Linked DNA regions of Drosophila melanogaster. The protein of the gene in region 2 interacts with the protein of the main gene of each other region in a pairwise test. Each region holds a gene or a part of one and is shown on either strand. Other genes may lie near its edges.

Evidence for each region.
Region 1: the proteins of CG9631 (region 2) and Nufip interact in a two-hybrid assay, tested with the Drosophila melanogaster proteins (one large-scale study listed by BioGRID).
Region 3: the proteins of CG9631 (region 2) and CG2124 interact in a two-hybrid assay, tested with the Drosophila melanogaster proteins (one large-scale study listed by BioGRID).

Annotation. Positions count from the first base shown.
Region 1 is NT_037436.4:18,746,111-18,750,204, forward strand, and holds Nufip (nufip), read right to left. Parts: upstream 2,258-4,094; 5' UTR 2,199-2,257; coding exon 2,007-2,198; intron 1,947-2,006; coding exon 1,666-1,946; intron 1,609-1,665; coding exon 546-1,608; 3' UTR 501-545; downstream 1-500. Other genes in the region: MED11 (mediator complex subunit 11), read left to right, coding at 1-378; Atg3 (Autophagy-related 3), read left to right, coding at 2,708-2,779, 3,234-3,369, 3,438-3,628, 3,683-4,094.
Region 2 is NT_033777.3:14,224,492-14,228,953, forward strand, and holds CG9631 (uncharacterized protein), read right to left. Parts: upstream 2,272-4,462; 5' UTR 2,226-2,271; coding exon 2,019-2,225; intron 1,946-2,018; coding exon 1,774-1,945; intron 1,631-1,773; coding exon 690-1,630; 3' UTR 607-689; downstream 1-606. Other genes in the region: CG9624 (uncharacterized protein), read right to left, coding at 3,709-4,462.
Region 3 is NC_004354.4:10,593,955-10,599,820, reverse strand, and holds CG2124 (uncharacterized protein), read right to left. Parts: upstream 3,700-5,866; 5' UTR 3,572-3,699; coding exon 1,772-3,571; intron 1,676-1,771; exon of another isoform or gene 1,506-1,675; coding exon 1,416-1,505; 3' UTR 1,179-1,415; coding exon of another isoform or gene 887-1,178; 3' UTR 652-886; downstream 1-651. Other genes in the region: CG1628 (uncharacterized protein), read left to right, coding at 525-630, 887-1,178; Hmr (hybrid male rescue), read left to right, coding at 4,229-4,277, 4,344-5,866.

The DNA.
Region 1 (4,094 bases), on a different chromosome or scaffold from region 2:
CTGTCCAGCGTGGAATCGAAGCTGTCCGAGCAGATCAACTACTTGACCCAGGTGTCCACGGGTCAGCCACACGAGGGTTCCGGCTATGCATCCGCCAAAGTGCTCCAAATGGCTTGGCATCGCATTCAGCACGCTAGGTCCAGAGTGCGTGAACTTGAGGAAACTAAGGCCAAACACTCACATGCAGCTCGTCAGCAGTTGAAGCGTCAGCAGGAACATGCCGCCGCCCAGCAACAGCAGCAGCAACAACAACAGCAGCAGCAGCAACAACAACAGATGCAACAGGCGGCACAACAGCAGCAACAACAAACCGGAGGAGGAAATGCCGGCAGCGGAGATCATCCCATGGGCGGAGACTCCTCAATGTCAACCAACTAATCTTGCGCTATCTTTAAGGGTAAGGGTTTTAAATTTTTTAGAGTGCATTCCGAAAAGGCACATTTTGTCAACCAATTGCGTTAATCGAAACATAAGTGACACTCTTTTTAAGAAATACATTTGCATACTACTATTTGTACTTTATTTGCCTAACTTAGAAGCTAAAGTTATAATGCATCCGGTGTTGAATCAACGGTTTTATCACAAGTGGTAACCAACGTTTCTTGATTTGGTTTAGCTTGACCAATGCCAAAGAAATTTCTCTCGCAAACATGTCGCACGCACTGCAGCAGGACATTTCTTTCATGGCGTATATCGGATTCTAATAGTTTCGACAACATAGTGTTCGGGGTTTGCTTGCGCGCTCTCTTGTAGTTCAAGCCATAAATTCGCTTTGGAGCTGCTCTTTTGGGTGCAGTTTGTGGCTTCGGTTCCATTGGTTCAGGAGGTGGTTTGACTGGATCTGACGCTGTTATAGTTTCGGTCACTCGCTGGAAGGGCTCTTCATCCGGTCCTTCGTCGGAGGAGCCATCTTCCTTGGCAGGCTCTGAGTTAGATGTAGTTATTTGACTAATGTTGCTTATTTCTCGCGGCACTTGGTCTGATGATGTCATTTCCAACATAGGTGTAAAGTCTTCACAAGTTTGAGTATTATCAACAGAGTTAGGTGTATTTGAAGCCTCAAGGGCTGGACCCATTTCTGTGATTTCAGATGGCATACTTTGGGAGCTCTCTACTTGTGCTGGGATTTGTTTACTGCAGTCTGCTGTATTCTGATCATCACTCTCAGCTTCACTTTCTTCGTCACTATCTGACCCGTACATTCCAAGAAAGCTAGACAAAGCATTATCCTTCTTTTGAACTTTTGCCTTAAAGTGCTGGTACTCCGGCATTTGTCCAGTTCCTCCAAATTTAGCATTTCCCAGGGAGCACAAATTAACTTCCTCTTCTTTTTTATCTTCATTAGTTTCTTTCTGCTTCAAAGCTTCGTTTGCTTTATCAGTACCAACACGTTTTTTCTTCTTTTCATTGGCTTTCCCTTTGGCACATCTCTTTTTCTTGTTTTTCGGATCGAAACGAACTTTGTGATCTCCCTGGGGTCCTCCTCGCGTCCGTTGGCGATCTTCCCGGTTTCCGAAGCGAGATTTCGAAGCCTCCAGGCGCTCTCCGCGTTTAATTCGCTGTTCCTTGGCTAATCTAGCCAGCTCAACATTGGCCGCAGTGGGAAATCTACAATTTGAGCTGCTTATTTTAAAGAACAAAAGAAATTTCTACTAATTAACTTACTTTTTTCTTCGTTCTGCCCTCCAAGCGGCCAATTCTTCCTCGGACCAAACTTTCTTTACCTTTACGTAGGTTCCTGTGATGTGATTGGATTCTATGTGACGTTCCAGGATGTTGTGGAGCGCCGCAAAGTCGCAGTCATCGGCAGGGCAGAACTCGTGTTGCTCCAGGTGGAGTTTCATATCCTGAGAGTTGGCCAGCTCCATTACACATGTGTGACAAAATTCCGGTCGCGGAGGAGAATGGTAAACTGGCGGGGATGCAGGCACGCTCACTGGGCTGCTCTATGTTTTGAATTAAGGAATGTTTAAAGAACAAGCTCGAACTATTATTGGTGCACTCACTTGTTCTTGGTGCAGATATTTAGCTGGCACTGTTGATCCTCGTGCACCGTACATGGGCGGCGGTTGCTTGGAGCGCGGCAGCAGGGTCATCCCGCTGGGGGTCAGGTAGAGGTGATTGGATGTGGTGGATCCATTGGGCTTGCCGAACTTTGGAGACGGTAATACGAATTTCGGCAGAACCTTTTCTTCCATTTCGTCGCGTACAAACGTTAGAAACAATGTGCGCGAATGGACATAGTGTGACCGAAGCTATCGAATATACCAACATGCGTACTACATTTTAAAAGGAATGTCTTTCTTAAGGTAAGATTTATTTTTATTAAAATCATTTAAAAGTATGAATAAGTGCTATTTTAAAATACCTTCGCTAAAATTCGGGTTTTTAATAAATTTAGAACTTATTTTAGACATTTTTTCTTAACAAAATTTATTAGATTAGTCCGTATTTAACAATGTAAATTACAGGTTGTTTTTATATTTGGGCAATCCATTGCAAAAAGTGCCGTTGTTCCTGCAACAACTTATCGATAGTCCCACCCACATCGATAGACTAGTATGACCGCACCGCACTGTTGTTGGTATCGCGACTGGCAAGACAAAAACAATTAGCTGCGAAGTGCAAGTCAATTGAGAGAGCCATCTTAATTGTATTTATTAAGTTTAAGCGTTTAGATTAGTGCGAATACTCAGCGGCCAACGAAATGCAGAGTGTTCTCAACACCGTCAAGGGCACAGCGCTCAATGTGGCCGAATATCTGACGCCCGTTTTGAAGGTAAAAAGTGCCAAATAAACGGAAAACTGATCAAATGTGTATTTCAATACGTACATATGAAACGAGGGTGTACATATGCATCATGACAAAGAAAACCCGCAAAGATAAGGGGTTTCCTCGCTCTAATATTGATTCCATTTTCCCGTTCCCCATTTTCCAAGACTTGTGTTAACGGCCCCCGGGAGGCTATAAAACTGGATCCAACGCCAGACTGTCTCCAAACGTAAAATAAGGGGCGTCCCAGAATTCTCGGCCTATTTTTGTGTCCTTTTAAGAAAACGGCCTACAATAATGTAACGGTTTATGGGAAATACTTACATTTTAGCGTTAAGATTAAAGATATGGAACTAATATACATATATACTAATTATTTATCAATTAAGAATTCTAGATACAACTTTCCACTTTGTTGGTTTTGAATTGTTGTACAAATATCGTTATTTTTTTTTTGCAGGAATCGAAATTCCGTGAGACAGGTGTTCTCACTCCGGAAGAATTCGTGGCCGCCGGTGATCACCTGGTGCACCATTGTCCAACTTGGCAGTGGGCCGCTGGCGATGAGACCAAGACAAAACCCTACCTACCAAAGGGTATGTGCTGCGATTTTCCACTAATAACTAGCCAATTGACTCATTAAAATCATTTCGCCCCCACTTAGATAAGCAATTCCTGATAACGCGCAATGTTCCCTGCTATCGTCGCTGCAAGCAGATGGAATACGTCGGCGAGGAGACGCTGGTGGAGGAGGAGTCCGGTGACGGCGGTTGGGTGGAGACTCATCAACTGAACGATGATGGCACCACCCAGCTGGAGGACAAGATCTGCGAACTGACAATGGAGGAGACAAAGGTGAGTGCGGGTGAAACTTTACCACGACTATCATAATCAAGTACTGCATTTCAGGAAGAAATGCACACTCCAGATAGCGACAAATCTGCGCCGGGCGCTGGGGGCCAGGCTGAAGACGAGGACGACGACGAGGCTATTGACATGGACGATTTCGAGGAGAGCGGCATGCTGGAGCTGGTCGATCCGGCTGTAGCCACCACGACACGCAAGCCGGAGCCGGAAGCAAAGGCCAGCCCAGTGGCAGCCGCATCGGGCGACGCGGAGGCCAGCGGTGACTCTGTGCTCCATACACGCACGTACGACCTGCACATCAGCTATGATAAGTACTATCAGACGCCGCGACTCTGGGTGGTGGGCTATGATGAGCAGCGCAAGCCACTGACCGTGGAACAGATGTACGAGGATGTCTCGCAGGATCACGCGAAGAAAACTGTCACCATGGAGTCCCATCCGCATCTTCCAGGTC
Region 2 (4,462 bases):
GTACCTCGTAATCAAATGTCTAGAAGCCATCTGCCTTCTGTGTTTTGAGCGAAAATCCCCTCTCTAGTAATCTTTGACTAATTCGTATAAACAAAACAAGAGCTTCAATACAAAGAGTTTACAAATTATCATCAATTTAATTTTAAGCTTATGATCATAGATCGAATTACTATTCTCAACATGGATGGGCTAACACTGATCGAATGTGTTAATTGATAAGGTGCTAATACGACTAAAGAAATTAAAAATTACATTTATCTTTACTGATAAGCTAGTGAGTCAAAACCCTGCTGTTGCTCACAACTGATTTTCTTGCTCTTGAGTCAAAAGTATTATTAACAAGAGATCTGACATACAGCCTTATTTGTTTATAGTTCTTATTATTATTACTCTCTGATGAGCTCTCACTTGTTTAAATCGAATTCCAAAAGCACTAATAATCTATTCCTCTCTTTAGAAAATTTGTAATCAATGATTGCAAACATCTGCACTTTAAGTCATAGGCTTAAAGCAAGGGTTTTATTTTAGCGCAAAGTATACACTTAATAGATTGTTGGCACCAATGCATGCTTGGGAAATCCACCGACTAGGAAAAGGTAATCTATTATACGACTTAAAGATTTATTGAGAATTTTGTACATAAATTTCCGTGTTTTCCTGTATTGTCACATTATAATTATTTCAGCGCCTCACATGACCATATTTTGACGTACCCAGTCAATGTGCCGTGCAACATCGCAATAGATAACATACTTGCTAAGGTCGCAAATCTCTCCGTGGCGAGGCGATAAAGAGACCACACCACGAACGTACCATCGATTGTTACGCAGGACGATCAGAGCAGATCCCGAGTCTCCGAAGCAGGGACCATGTGATTCTGAATTGCCGGCACAGACGGTCCGCCGCGTGATGAAGTCCTCCGCCCGCTTCATCTCCTTGAGACACTGATCCCGGGGCACCAATCGAACACTCACTGTCTTGGGAAACCGCGTCTTCTGGGCACTCCTGTCGTAGCCCCAACCGGCTACTGCTCCAGTATCGCCCTCATTCGGTGGCAATCCCATATTGGAGCCCCAAAGGCAGAGGGGTCGAATGTACTTGGTGTACACCATCGGAGAGGTCAGCACCAGCAGACCAACGTCCGCATCCGGAACTGGATTGCCCTCGTAGGCGGACGGAGTCAGCACGCTGGTCACGCTAACCAGGGAGGCTCCATTCTCAGGATTCTCGTTGCGATCATGCCTGCCCAAATAGACCCAAAGCTGGCTGGCGCTCTTTCCATAAATGCAGTGAGCTGCCGTGATCACAGTCCGTTTGGAGATAACCGACACCACGCATTTGTATGTAGCCGTGCCAACACCTTCGTAAAGGGCCGCGAGCCAGGGGTACTGACCGCGGGTCACCAGGTCGCCTCCGATTTGAAGAGGCGAAAAGCCCTCAACGCCGCATTCCTCAAAGTCCGAATCTATTCTGGGCATGATTGAAGGAAGGAAAGGATTGGGGTCATTGCTCGGTGTGCTCGGCGGCGGACGCCGCTGACGCACTATTTCTCTTGGTGCTGACTTTTGACTAATTGGCGTTGAGGTGGACATGGACTGGCGTCGGGTCATTGTGCTTGAAGGGGCATCATCTGCACAAAGTAAAAAGAAAGATATGAGAAAATTATCATCAACTATATGAGATCATCTACTATATAGAATATCTTTAGGGTAACAATAATTATTTCAAAGTAATTTAACTAAAGATATTCTATCTAGTTTTATTATTACTCACACTCCTCATTTTGACACAGAACCTCGCCGTTGAATTCCGCCCGGACAAGTTTGGGCAGCTCGTTTCCAAAATCCGTGAAACGCACAAACACCTCGCCACGTTCTCCGCTGTGTATCTTTTCAAAGGCCCTTTCCTTATTGGGATACGGAATGAGTGAGCCCACAGTGTTTGCCTGCATGGGGGGATATCAGAATGTTGAATCAGTTGAAATAAACAAATATATATGTAATTTGTTAGGGCTTTACCTCACCAGTTCCGTGAGCAGTGAAAACCACCTCCCATGATAGGCTGTTCACACCAGCGCGTGGCGCCGTGAAGACGCCAATGTAGGCTCCACTGTCCTCTTTGTAGTAGGAGAAATACCTCTCACAATTATGCTGCGGCACGTGCAACGCCGACCCGAGTTTCAGATTGAGACAAAGGCCCAGCAAGGTCAGCCACAAGATTGTCATTGCGACGGTAACAACCAATGCTGAATGGAACTGAATGAGAACTGGGATCGAAATCGGAATCCACAAGCGACTATCGATGCACTCCCTCTCCATGTAACAGCTGATCTCTCGCCAGATTGCGGAGCACCCCCATTGAGTGATCACTGGTTATTCCCAGCCATATCAAGTCTTCGGCTTAGTACTATTTTTAATCATTCAACTAACTAACAGCTATTTAAGAACCTGGTTCTCCACGGAACTATTTAACAGAGGAGCTACTGTTGAGAGAAAAATCCCCATCTAAGTAAACATGTGACTTGTTTTACAAACCCACTGTATGTACTCGTATATATATGATATGCTCGTAGCTAACTGAAGAAATATTTTCTTCTCTTTTTCTGATCTTGCTCAATTTTTATAGCAAAAAACTGTTCAGTATCAATCGAGAACTGTTGTAAAACACAACTTTTTGTGGCTTAGTTTACGCCTGACAGCAATTTAAAATTTAAACAGCTAGCATTGGCTTTTAAAGCACAAGTACTCTTTAATTTATCTTATTTGTTTGGGCAATTTGTTTTTGATGCTATAAGAAACATTTACGAACTGATAAGAAAAGTATTACTTTTTAAATTTATTTTTCTATACTTCTACTGACTTTTTACATTTTCAAGATCTGTGGCGGCTCCTCTTAAAAATCGCGTAAGTTTTGCTCAAAGCTATTATCAGGCGTGGCAAGGTGGCTTATGTGAATTTCTATTGAAAATTATGTTTGTGGGTCGACGTTTATAGCGACAACGCATTTGGCCAAAAAAAACTTTTTCCAACAAAACAAAAAGGAAGCCCGTAGAGAATGAGGGGAAGTGCTCCTAACTTCACGATACCCGCAACTCAATTTTGCTGCATTGTGGCCGCCGGTCCCCCAATTTGCCCCAACTGCCTGCCGGCAACTTTTATAATCAGTTTCAAGTTTGTTAAGCTTTGTAATAATTTGTTGAGATTTGGTGCGAAATTTTTCGATTTCGTTTCTTTTTCGCAAACAAACTTGTTGTGAATTGTGCCGTGGGCTCAAGTCTGCCAACTTAGCGGAGGCACTTTGACAACACATCGGAAAATGGTGGTGCAGGCTTCCGCCTGCGTCAATAATCGGGTGGCAAGTGGCAGGTAGCGTGCGTCTGACTGCACTTGAAGGCAGCTCCAATTGGGCGGCCTAATTGAAGCGGTTCCTGTTCGGGCGCCACTTCAACATGATGGCTTGAACGGCCGGGCGGAGCAAATCAAGTCGTATCAAATTAGGCGACGTGAATAAGTATTAAACTGGGCTAAAACAGATGTTATGATGTTTAAATTCGATTTATTGCATGTAATATATATAATCTTGTGTAAACTTGAGATTTTTTTTACATTTTGAAATTTTTTTAAAAGCAATAAATAATTACTTGTCTATAGCAACTTCAGTTGGCATTTGCTAATAACTGCTGATGGAAATTAATTGAAAGAATTTGTTCTATGCCCGTCGGATTATCTTATAGGTATCGCAGGTGCAGATGCCACGAAAACGACTAAATACGAAGACAAATGGCTCTCCGCAGGACTTAAGGAGCTGATTTTTCTGTGCGTGCACAAAAGCTGTGCGAAGGGAGTATTGCACCTCATCGTGCCATGAGTTATCAGCCGATTCTTCCACCAAATACGTGTGGAAGACATTGAGCACCTGAAGCGATCGTTCCATGCGAGGTGTTCGAGGCAATGCCAGTAACTGAATATATGGACGAAACTTTATCCAGCGCTGGCAGTCCTTAATGTCCACATCAGTGCCCAGATCGATAATCATTAGCTTGCAGTCGTGATCATGAATGGCCCTCAAGATGTCCAGCTCCATGGGTCCCTTGAAGCACTTCTGCAGCTCCTCAGTGATGGTGAAGCCCAGTTCGTGACTGGGAGTTTGCATGGTCCAAGGATAGCGCCGATTGGCAAAGTCGTACGCCAACTTCTGGCGACGCTCCTGCTCCATCCTCAGTTTGTTTACCACCTCATCTATGGGTCTAATGTCCCGGGATCCATGGCGCAGAAAGTCCACCTGATTCGACGCCGTTCGCTCCTCCACCTCCTGGTTTAAGGCATTCTCAGCATCCTCGTTCTCGATCTCCTCCCTTTGGGCTCCTTTGCAGCAGCGCAGCTCATGTGGCGGCATGTAGAAAGGAAAGCCCACCTGGGACAGATAGATATGCCAATCCAGTCGATTGAAGGGCTGCCGGGGC
Region 3 (5,866 bases), on a different chromosome or scaffold from region 2:
AAAGCCCAGTCAATCCAATCTAATCGAGCACGAGGAAGGCTGGCATTCCTCTCGTTATTTTCCAAAACATAAATATTGAGTATTTACTACGCAGATTGCGAAAAGCGAATTAGGGATTTCTATGGAAACTGATAAGACTATTCATAGCCACATAGAGCCGCAGCTCGAAACATGCCACGCACAGCAGTGACGTAGTGCGAGATAGATCTGTACACATCTAGGGTATACTGGTGGTGTACTACTACAAGTACTACAAGCTGGAAAGCATCGGGAAACAGGGAGCGGAACGTGCAGCTACGGCCAATGCACATGGTTGGGCCACTATCAGTCAAGTGGAAATTTACCGATGTAATGATGCCCCACAATTGACAGCCTCAAGTCGGCAGATCATGAGCACGTTTCCGTTTCGCCTTTGATTGATGTTCCAATGCGAATTTAATTGATAGCCCCATCCTCACGTGTCCATCTTCGCTATTTTCTTAGCTACCATTGGTCTAATCCGTTGATTAATCTCTTCTCCGCAGGCATCAGAGGCTTCTATCGCGGATTGAGCTCGACTTTCCTGCGCGAGATGCCCGGATATTTCTTTTTCTTCGGCAGCTACGAGGGAACCCGTGAATTACTCCGCAGGTGAGTACAAACAAATTCCATAGAAGGAGATTAATGAGTTTAATGTTTACGAGTGAACAACAATCGTTCTTCTTCAGTTATCATACTAATTAGCAGTATAGTTATATTTAGTCATTTACAGAATTTGTTCAACAATATCTTAACAAAATCCTTAGCTGGACAGATAACTCGATCTTCGTTAGTCTATTCAAATGAAAGATGTTGGACAAAGTTAAATAGTTATTTACATTGGCATAATTCTTATTTTCCTTTGCAGGGATGATCAATCCAAAGATGATATTGGACCACTGCGTACGATGATCGCCGGCGCCATTGGAGGCGTCTGCCTCTGGACGTCGACGTTTCCTGCAGACGTAATTAAGAGTCGCATACAGGTGAAGAACCTCAACGAAAGCATGTTCGCCGTGGGAGCGGACATAGTCCGTCGCGAAGGTGTCCTGGCACTCTATCGCGGCCTGCTGCCATCTGTCCTGCGCACCATTCCAGCCACGGCCACCCTGTTCGTGGTCTACGAGTACACCAAGCGAGCGTTGAGCGCCACCCTCTGACGACGGCATCAACCATACAATGGATCGCGACGAACGGTCCGCTGCGGTCCGATTGCGGGGATCCGGGAGCAAGACGCTGTGCTAGTAGTTGTCGGCCGCGGGCGGTCATTATTAAATATTCGATAATTATTGCTTTTTTTTCTAGATAATTAATAGATCGTAGTGTTGTGCCTGTACAATGTTCAGATAATGCTAATGACTGACTAATATCAATTCTATTGCCGTTTTTATTTCCTGCTAAATTTTTGCAATTTGGCTAAGGCGGCGTTTCAGAAAGTCCTGGCGGTCAGCTGAGTTCTCCAGTTCCCGCCACTCGTGCCAATAGATCTGTGGAAAAAAGCAGGAAAAGATTAGACAATTAAATAATTATAATAATACAACCCGCAGTCTAAGAAGAAATACACAATTGGTACATTTAAATAGGTGCGTTTCGTATAAAAAGAGAAAGAGAGAGAGAGAGCTTGTGAATAAAAAGGATGTAAATTCAATTAAAATAGAAAGAGATAGAGAATTTCATATGCTTGACCATACTGTTCGAAGGATGAGAAAGTTTTCATTTTAATATAGCTTACATAGGATAAAGCAAAACTTACCACCAGTGGCTGATGTCCCAATTGCCGCAGCTGCCTTAGCTTCATATCCATTTGGCCGGTGAAACGATCCTTATCGCGGATTACGTTGTTCCAGCCGGCAATAACGATAACCACTGTGACCAGCTGGTCATCCGCAGCCTTTCTCTCACCCAGTAAGTGCTTCCGGGTGAGAATCTCACCGCTGTAATCCTGACAGGCCTCACCATTTATGGACAACGCCTTCCGTTGCCGGCGGTCGTAGCACAACACTACATCGCATCGATCGTATTGCGGCAGGATGTGCTTGAAGGTCACGGGACGGTGGATCATGGTGATCGCATCCCGTATTTCCACTAGAATACGATCGGTATTATTCAGCTTGAAGCGTCCGTCCCGATCGGGGATGTACTGCGTGTAATTGCGGCCCATCTGCTGTCGTTGCTTCTCGGTAACCAGTGCTCCCTGGTATTCCGGCCCCAGGAGGCGTGCGAACCCATCCAAATGGAAGTACTCACGCCCGGGCAATCCGCTTGGGTACGCATGCTTCAGGAAACGCGGCTCCAGTGCCACGCCCAAAAGCTCAAGATCGTAAACACCACGCATTGTGAGAAACTGAAGGCAGTTGGAGAAACAACGAGGATGGCGCAGTATCTCCTCTATACGCTGGCGCAGCAAATCGGGCAATCTCTCCGCCAACCGGCGTTCCACTCCCGACTTAGTTGTAATATTGAAAAGGGCCATTACCAGACAAATTCGCTCCATATCCTTGAGGCGGGCAGTCTCTAACTCACGCTCGAATCTCAGCAGTATGCGCTCCACCAGTGCATCATTGCACGTTTGCAGTTCACAGCCCAGAAGAGCCATGTGCAGGCACGTGAGGAGGGAAACGCGATCCACTTGCGACTCTAGAGCGCTTAACATCTTCTTTAGCGGCTCCACTTGTGGCAGCTTGCTGCTGTACCGCAGCACCTTGAGCAGCGCTACCAGGACAATGTCTTCCACGGTGTCCAGCTCGCTGCCTAATCGCTGATAGAGTTGCGTTAGCAGCTCCGGATTTCTGATAGGCGTCTGTGTCTTAAAGAAGCCCATGGCCATTACGCCCAATTCGGACAGCGTCATTTGATCCACGCAGCGGGCCAGATTCAACTCGAAATCGAACATCTCGAAGACGGGTCGGCGCAGTAGATTGCACAGGAACATGGAGTGAACGAGCTGTTCTGGCGGCAGCTTTCGCAGCTTGCGGCCGAGCTTTTTCAGCGCCAGCCACACGTACTCGCCTATCCTGACCAGACCAAGACGATACCAGGCATCGCTCACGAGTAGCAATTGTTCACTGGACCATCGCTCGATGCGGCGACAGCACTCGATGTCCAGGGTATTCCATATCTCCATGTAGTTCTTGGCTTTGGGCGATTCCGGTACGGGCAGCTCGGCCAAGGCACTAAGCGATCCAAGAAGTTGTTCATCCGTAAGGCGATGCAGCTGCTCACAGAAGCAGCGGGTAAAGGCTTCGTAGCGGCTATCGCTGATCTTCAGTTCCATGCGATTACAGTGCCTCACCAGGCCTAAAAAGTCCGCATAGAGATCGGCAGCACTGGCATCTGGCTGTGGCCGCATAAAGCCTTCAGATGCGGGCAAATCCTGCCAGGCGGAGTCCCGAGGACGCAGTATTGCATACGGTTTGAGAGAATCCATCAGGATTCCATGGGCGAACTGATTCTCTCGGTCCGCAAATATTCGCGCTGGTGAAACGATCGTCGTGCATACTTGGCGGCGCAGACGTCCCACACTTCGCCAGAGGTAGTTTGTTCTTGCCCACATGTTTTAGAGCGATATTTGGTTGTAAATTAATTCAATTCAATTGAATTTGAATGGAAAACGCGTTATGAAAACATTCGTTGAAAAACCTGCCGGCTAAACAGCTGACTGGTAAGCAGCGTTGCCAGAACGAAGAAATTGGAGTGCTCGCAAGTGGGAGAACTTAACGAAATATTCTGCTCTCAGCGCTTGGCTGCTATCGATAACTCCACTGATATCCAAATGGGTAGCTACTAGAATGTAGCTTTACAAATTGTAACGTGTTTTTTCAACTTATTTTTGTTTAACTTAACACAAACAAAAATATTTAGCTATACAATTCTATTTCACACTCAAATATTAATCGAATGTTTCGATAACGGTATCCGTGGTCGATAACGCTCTTTAACCATTTTGCGTTTGCAACCGCCGACTATCTGGCGTCGCAAGAAACCTTATTTACGTAGATATATTTACGTAGATACGCTTGCACTTAATAATCCTGTAGTTGCAAGTTGTTCCCAAACTATTTCCGAGTGATTTTATGCTACAAAAGAGTGAAGAGTGAAGCAGTGGTTCCATCGGATTGCCCACCGGTTTCTCCGTTCCGAGAATTCTCGACGGCTTGTGTGGGGGAAAGGCGCGCGTAGGTCAAGATTGGAGCTATCAGGTGTCTAGGACATGGAGGAGGAGCCTGTTGCCATTGAAAATGATTGCCAGATAATTGTTTGTAAGTCCGACAGTTGGTCACCTGGTCAGCCGTTCAACTAACTTCCGTTTTTTTTTTTCCTCAAAGCTGACACAATTGGTCAGAAGACGAATGGCGTGGATGACGATAAGGCCCCAAATCCGTTCAGCAGATGCACTTATCCGGGATCTCGGGATGGCGGCATTCTGCAAACCTATAGGGCAGAGAGGCTGCTCATCGCTTTGGTACGCCGCCAGCCGCTATTGTATGACGCCCGGCATCCGAAATTCCGCGACGTCGCTCAAAGGGAGAAACAATGGAAAAAAATCGCCAGCCGCCTGGCAACGAATGCGACCAACTGCAAGAGATCCTGGTCGGCGCTGCGATATAAATATCAGCGCCATGTTCGTCGTCTAAGAAACTTTCATCGCAGTGCCATCCAAAAAGATCGGGCGGCCCTGCGTTGGCGTCCTTGCATGGAATACGAGGAAGAGATGCGCTTCATGTATACCCATGTGGCCAGATTCCCACTGATTGTCGACAAGATTCCGACAGAGATTCTTGAAAAAGAGCATGTGGATGAGAGCGAAACCCGGCCCGATGTGGAGGTCATAGAGAATCCGCCAATGGACATCATAGATTTGGATGTCGAGGAGGACCCCACCTATAACTACCGTTGCAACAGGTTACAGCGTCGCCTCATAGAGGCAGTCAGTGCCTATCCCCTTCTGTACGATAGCACGTGCACGGGCTATCAGAACACACGACATCGCTTTCTAATCTGGAGTGCCATTTCAAACGAAGTCCATGACAAAGCCACCAAGCTGATGAAGTGCTGGCTAAAGCTGCAGACTCGCTACGAATGGGAGTTAATCCATCGCCCACGTCATATCGGCACTTCGGAGCTGTGTCGGTTGATGGACTTCATGGAACCGCACGTACAGCGCATGCGCGGCACCGTATGCAAGTCTTCCAAGTACCTGCAAAACGGTTGGCACGAGCCCATTGAGAATTTCCACACTGTGATGGCGCTGATCACCACGATGCGCAACATGCCAGAACTAGTTCAGCTGACGGAGGACTCCCTGCACAACAAGGTGAAACCGCCGCGCTACGACGAATTCTGGCAGAAGGTCGGCATGGAAGTGATGTGTAGTCACGAGCACTGCGAGGTCACCTGGCTGGTGCTGCGCGCCTTTTACCACGAATTGCAGGCCGTGCGCTCATCCGGCTATCAGCTGCAGGACAAGTGGTTCTTTGAGGGCTCCATGGGTCTGGCCTTAACGCCAGTTACCTCTCGTTCCACGGCCCGTCCCGCACTAAAGCGGACAGCCAACGGCGCCATACCAGTGGCGGGGGAGCCTCCGGCCAAAACACCGGTGCCGGTACGTATGCCATTGGCTATTGTCTATCCGTCCACCTCAAAAGGCAGCAGCACGAGCATGACCAACAGTGCAAGCACTGCCACAAGCATTGGCCCCACCTTCACCAATGTTAGGAGGTCCTCTGGCCCAGTCATTAACAACACATCCACCGCCGCCGCCGCAACGAACAGCGTCAGTTCGAGTGTATCGCCCGATCAAGCTCTTCCCAAGTTTGTGATTCCCAAAATCACGTCCGCCATCAGTGTG